Linked DNA regions of Mus musculus. The protein of the gene in region 1 interacts with the protein of each later gene in a pairwise test. Links are inferred from orthologs where the notes say so. Each region holds a gene or a part of one and is shown on either strand. Other genes may lie near its edges. The genes, in order: Psmc6 and Psmd9.

Evidence for each region.
Region 2: the proteins of Psmc6 (region 1) and Psmd9 interact in binary tests that used the Homo sapiens proteins (3 or more experiments, as listed by UniProt). The two-hybrid records come from large-scale screens. The link is inferred for Mus musculus from reciprocal best matches to the Homo sapiens genes PSMC6 and PSMD9.

What each region holds. Positions count from the first base shown.
Region 1 is NC_000080.6:45,346,806-45,349,877, reverse strand, and holds the end of Psmc6 (26S proteasome regulatory subunit 10B), read right to left. Parts: coding exon 3,063-3,072; intron 1,296-3,062; coding exon 1,177-1,295; 3' UTR 807-1,176; downstream 1-806. UniProt on the Homo sapiens protein: Component of the 26S proteasome, a multiprotein complex involved in the ATP-dependent degradation of ubiquitinated proteins.
Region 2 is NC_000071.6:123,241,629-123,245,452, reverse strand, and holds part of Psmd9 (26S proteasome non-ATPase regulatory subunit 9), read right to left. Parts: intron 3,622-3,824; coding exon 3,520-3,621; intron 1-3,519. UniProt on the Homo sapiens protein: Acts as a chaperone during the assembly of the 26S proteasome, specifically of the base subcomplex of the PA700/19S regulatory complex (RC).

The DNA.
Region 1 (3,072 bases):
GAGAAACCCTGTCTCGAAAAACCAAAGAGAGAGAGAGAGAGAGAGAGAGAGAGAGAGAAAGGGAGGGAGGGAGGGAGGGAGGGAGGGAGGGAGAGAGAGAGAGAGAGAGAGAGAGAGAGAGAGAGAGAGAGAGAGAAAAGAAGAATTACATACCTAGCTGGATCATTTATGGTTAGTCCTTTGGTATTTATGAAACTGAAGTTTGATGTCTTTATTTAAACAAGAATTAACTATAAATAATCTCAATTTTTAGACATTGACAATTTCCTTATACAACTTTTGATTGCCACATGAAATTAGAATTGTGTACAGGTAACAGAACTTTTGTTTTGAACATTTAACATTCCATAGAGTAGACACTCTCAGCCTGGTATTTACTGGAAGATATTTATAGAATCCACTGGTGAACCTAAGAAATAATAGATCGCTAGAAATCACATATATGTAAAATTACATGTCCATGAACAGACTTTTCCTGGATCCAGACCACAAAAAGGGAATTATTTTTCACATAAACCAAATTATAAGTATTACTTCCAGTCATAATCTTTAAAAAGTTAAAATTATCAAATACCTAACTGCAATAGGTAAAGAGAATTTCTTGGAAGACACAAGTACATGTATATACTCCATAACCCCACACTCTATGATCTATAAAAGAAGACATTCTTGTGGACTCTGTGAGTACTGTTTAAAATTCAAAGCCCTATTTTAATTTTCAACTTCATCCAGGTTTTCAAATCATATACTTACTAATCCAAAAGGACAAGAATAAATGTGCTTTTAGAAAAGACAAGAGTATATATAGGACAACTTAAAACAGATTTTATTGCTTTTTTTTTAAGGACGAGGAAAACAAAATATAAAATAAGTCATAAGAAATGCTCTCCTCTACTATCTCAATCATTTTGAATGTTGTACAAAATGCTCACAAAGCAAATATGAAAAGCTTCAGGATGTCTTTTGTAAATTCTGCTGAAGTAAATGCAACATCACCAAACATGACTTTCTTCTGTACCAATTTTTAAAAAATTACTGAATTACATACTATTATGTTGCTTATACATGTTTATTCACTTTTAATAAGATCATTGCCAATACATACATTATTTTCCTTAACTTTATTTTTACATTAAACCAATGTCTGTCATGCAGCCACCAAACCCTTCTAGTGAATCACACAGGTTTGTAGTCCAGCTTGGACTCCAGCTTCTTGGAGTCAGCCACTTTCCTGACTGCTTTCATGAAGTCTTCCTGAACTACAAAATCATGATCGGCACGAATTGCAAACATACCTGTGGAAAACAAAACAAATTGCTGCTTATAGTGTGTGCGATGCAGTTCAATCAGTAAGACAGCTAAGCTGGGAACAGTGGTACCTGACTGTAAGTAAGCTCAGCACTTAGCAGATCTCAAGTTCAAGACCAGCCTAACATGTCAAGACCTCATCTCAAAAGAAAAGGGGAAAGAAAACTAAGTGATCTTATCTCTATGGAGGAAATGTGAAGAGATATACACTTACTACTTCTGAGCCAGTAATGCTACTTCATACATTTTCATAAATAGCGTGAGCATTGTTTTTGAAATAAGCAGATACCACAATTACCTGACTATTTAAAATCTGGACTGTGTAGTACTTAATGAAATTAATATTCATTTAATAAAAATCCTGGCAGTATTAAGTGGTGGTACTTAATAAAAACACCTGGAACAAAACATCTGGGCTAGGATGGAACAGGTAGGATGTTTGCTTAACATATGCAAGATCTTAGGTTTGATCTCAAGCAATGCAAAACTAAACAACCAACTTGCAGTGACTTTAATAATGATTACCTGTCACTAAGCAAGGCTTAAGGTTGGGGATATAGCTGTCAGGAGTATTGCCTAGATTATAGACACTTGTTCAACCATCTGTACTGCGTACTATAAGCCTAAAATCCCAGCATTTGGGAGGGAAAGGCAGGATAATCACTATACACTGTATATTTCAAAAAGTTAGAAAAAAGGATCCTAGGTGTTTTCATAGTGAAGGGAACACAGGTAATCTCCAAGGAAGAAAAGCTCCAAGTCAGGTATGCAACACAGACCTTGGACCCACACATAAATGGCGCTCACTCTTGATGACATGTACAGTTACAGGTTGTAGTTAGAGAGAGAGACACTCTCTTCAGTGGTGTAGCCACAGGAAAAGGGTCCATTCTTCTCTAAGCATCCATACTTAAACTCAACGGATCAGGGACTGGGGAGATGGCTGCTCCTCCATAGGACCTGAATTTAATCTGATCTAAGTATTACATAATATATACATGTATACAAAAACATGGTTCCTATTAATGTGTGATTTCCTTCAAAGTTTTTCAATGTGAGAAAAAAAAAGCACCTATCAAAATTTGACAGCATCAGCTTTAAAATCACAGTACTGCCTTTTGACTTTAGCTTTTCCTGAAAGTCGCCCTTGATAATTATGTGGTCTGATTTTGGAATGTGATAAATTACCCTAGAGACATGCCTTGGGTCTGAATATTCTGAATGAAAACTAAATGACTTCAACCTGGCAGTGTTTCAAAGTCACTTGTTACCAAAAATAAAACTAGTATCACGAAATTCAGAATTGTATTTTAAAACTTCATTTTGAACAAATTCCAGGACATCAGTCTTCTAGAGCAATCTTTCAAATACTGGTCTTATGGGACTTGTCCATTCTAGTTCTAGCCACAGTGTACCAAACAGTCCTGCAATCAGGCTTCCCACAACATGCCTGTGGGCATGAGATCACATCCCCAAGGGCCAACTTTATTGGGGAACGGGAGAGGGTAGCTGGTAAATCAGTGTTGTAGGCTTGCATGTCCCGCCATACAACCTCAACAGCATTCTGTACGTTTCCCTAAAATCAAAGTCAGCTACTACAGTGGTGCATCCTCCTTTGCGTTGTTCAGTTCTACTTCTTGAAATCAAGTCTCAAATGCAAACCAAAAACCAGAAATCCTGCCAAAGTGCAGCTCTGCTTTTAGATAAGCTTAGAACATTGTTATTGATGGTAAAAATATACTTTTTATTCTCACCTGCTTCAGT
Region 2 (3,824 bases), on another chromosome or scaffold:
CTTTGATTTTTGTTCAATGCTGGACCCCAGCCCTCAGTCCAGAAGTAAGCACACATGGGGAGGGGAGGGCAGGGGAGGGGAGGGCAGGGGAGGGGAGGGGAGGGCAGGGGAGGGCAGGGGAGGGCAGGGGAGGGCAGGGGAGGGCAGGGGAGGGAGTTACAGAGAGAGACAGACACAGTGCTTTGATTTTCACTTTAAACATTTTTGCAATGTGAATTTGTATGTGACATAAATATGCAGTAGGCTTCTTACTGAGACACAATTTATATACAGTAAAGCAGGGCTCAGTGGGTCTCCTGCTCTCAGACCCATCACCACCTCCTAACTGCAGAGGGTCTGTCTGCATCATCCAAAAGACCATCAGCACATGGTCCTCACCCTCACCCTCCCGCCCAGCAACCACCAGCCAATCTCCTTTCTAGCTTTCTAGATCTGCTTTTTAGGACAACTTCGTTGAGGAATTGTATGGCCTCCTGTTTGGTCTCTTTCACTTTATATTATGTTTTCAATACTCATGTTGTAATATGTAATGGAGAATTTACTCCATTCCTGTGGCTAAACTAAATATGCATTGTTTTTATTATAAAGGTGCATGCGAGTGTGCACACACATGTATTTAAAAAAACCAAAAGCTGGGTGTGGTGGCACACGCCTTTAATCCCGGCACTCGGGAGACAGAGGCAGGCAGATTTCTGAGTTCAAGGGCAGCCTGGTCAACAAAGTGAGTTCCAGGACAGCCAGGGCTATAACAAACAAACAAACAAACAAACAAACAATAAATAAATAAAAACCAAAACCCAAAAAACAGTGTGCTGGGCATGGTGGTGCACCCCTTTAATCCCAGCACTCAGTAGGCAGAGGTAATTGGATCTCTGTGAGGCCAGTCTGTCTACATAGTGTGCTCTAGGACAGCCAGGGCAGACAGAAATTGTTGTTGCAAAACAACAACAACAACAACAACAACAACAACACTTTTGTTGACCAAACCCATGACTGGGCACCTGAAAAGGGACCTGCCACTGAACCACACACCCTTAGGGTCAAGACAGTAAATTTTTTTCCCATCAAGATTGCTTGCGCTTTGAGAATATACGCGTTTGATCCAAACACTATACTTTTGGAAGGAAAGCTGATGAAAACAGTTTGCTCTACAAAAGCAGAATCGTAATAAAATTGGAAACTTCCGAAATGCTAACAGCACAGACAGACCTGGGGTTTTGTTTTGTTTAAGTCACAGAAGAGACGATGAGAACCCAGACTCCTGACTCTCAAGCAGGGCCCTGAGGGTCAGGACTGAGATCAGCGGTGTGGCTTTCAAATTACCATGGCCACTTGGCTTTTAGACAGCGGGCACATTGGGACTCCCCAAAGTAAGTCTTTTGAAAAAAAGCTAAAAGGAAGCCAGGAAACGAACCTGAAGACTTTGTGCCAATTTTGTGCTTTGGTTCTGTTTTCCATGGGTCTGAATTCAGAATGTAACAGGACATCTTTAAAAACACATCTGCAAATACGCACACTGGGCGTGGCAGCGCACTGTCACAGAGATGATGTCACTGAGATGATGAAGAACAGCAGGCTAGCAAGGCTGGACAGCCACAGACACAAACACTGGGAAGACATGACAGAGATGAGGGACCGCTAACACAAGGAAAGCTTCCACAAACTGGACAAGTGAGGGCAGGGCGAGTAGAGAGGCTGGAGCCCTCGGAGGGCAGTTTAATGATAGGCCCCAAGTCCTCTCACATGCCTCCCTTCAGGAGGTCCAATTCCCTTCTCCCCAGGCGTGGGCTGGACCTAGCAAGTCACTAAGAGGTAAGAAAGACATAACTGTGCATCTTCTGAGATGCGACCCCCTCACTGCTCTCGCTGCCTGAGGTAGTGCACTCAAGTGGTGTATGAAGCCGCAGGATGAGTAACTGAAGGCTCGGGCCGACCATGGGGTGGAAGTGGATGTACAGCCTCGCTGGACCCTTTGGGTGGCCATGGTGTCTGCAGGTGTCCTGGCTGGCCCTCACAGAAGCCTCTGGGCCAGAACCAGCAGAGCCAGCAGGGATGGCTGAGCTGTCCAACGAGACCAGTGGTTCTCAACCTGTGGGTTGTAACCTTCTTGGGGTGAGACACCCACTTCACAGGGCTCCCCTGAGACCATCTGAAAACACAGATGTTTATATTACTGTTTCTAACAGTAGCCAAAGTACAGTCATGAGGTAGCAAGAAAAGTAATTTTATGGTTGGGGCCACCACAACATGAGGAACTGTATTAAAGGGTGGCAGCGTTAGGAAGGTTGAGAGCCCACTGTACCAGACAGACAAGCATCTGTGGTCTTGGCCTACCAACTTTCCAAATGGTCCTTGGACTCACTCTATAGCAAGGTGTTAAAGGAAAGCAGACAGGGACAAATGGATTCTTCTAAGCAACTCCAAAAAGGGTCAGAACAAAGAGAACACCACCCATATATCTGATATTAACAGAGGTGACAGTGTAAACTAGTGGGTAAAGTATTCATAATGATAAATGGTACCGGGACAACTACTATCCATTTGGGGGGAAAAGTGGCCTGGTAATGTGTGTCTAATTACACTAAACTAATTATAGAATAAATTCCTGGGAAATATATGTGTCAGAAAAAGAAGAACCTATATCCACGGGCTAGAGAGATAGCTCCGTATTACATAAAAACAGGCATGGCCAGGCACACTGTACTTCCAGTGCACGGGAGGAAGGACAACCAGAAGGCTCAAGATCATCCTAGGCCACACAGTGAGATCCAGGCCAGCCTGAGACAGAATAAGACGCCTCAAGTATACACGATCTCTCAGAGCCGGCCACCCTTCTTTACAGGTGCCACCTAGAAAAGCATGTGACCACGTGCACACGTACGTGGTCGGCCACCCTGGGTGAAGCTGGAAACATCACAAGGTCTAGAGAAGGCAGTGATGGAGAACTGGACCCCAATAACAGCTGCAGGGGAACAGGGCATGTGCCAAAATAAGGCAGCTTCTAGCTTAGTTACTGTTACTGGATGACACAGAGGAGGGATTTAGACAAGAGCACCAGGAGGGCCATCAACTGTGTAAAAGACTCAGCTGTGTAAGACAAATGTGGCAAATGGAAGAAAAAGCTCTCCAGGGAGAGAGAGAGGCACCACCACTGCTGTCAGCAGTGAGGATCCCCCCAACAGCTTCTGGGCCGGAAAATCCCAGACAGACAGACAGATACCCAGCGCTATGGGCTGAACTCCTGCTTCCCTCTGGAAAGCTCTCATACTGAAAGGCTGGCTGACTGGCCCCTCGGTGTGATGGAGTAGGAGACTGGGCTTTAGAGGGGTGCAATTTATGGGGATGGAGCCCTGGTGATGGAGTCAGTGATCCAGCCCTTAAGCAAACTGTGTCATCCTTGGACCAGAGCCTGAATCTGTGGCCCCCTGCTCCTGGACTTCCACACTATCCCCTGATCTGTGCGAGCAGCAGGCCTCTGTGGCTTGTGGGACACCCGGATGCCAGGGCACCCCGACTTACCCCCTCGCTATGCTGCACCACAGTGCCCACGTTCTGCACTGACTGGAAGTTTTGGGTGTTCACGGAGCCGAACTCCACAATTTCGTCATCCACTTGCAGGCCCTAAAGACAGGAGAAAAATGTAAAGCCAACCCGAGAGGTTGGATGCATTTTCTGGTCATTTGTACCGCTTAATCTACAACTCTGTGGCAAGACCAAGAGCTTGTTTCCTACAGGGAAAGAATGGCAGGCTCTAAGTAACGAGGTCAAAGATTTCAACTCCTCGAGTAGGATCAGGGAGTAGGCAGGTGCCTCATTCTGGAGGT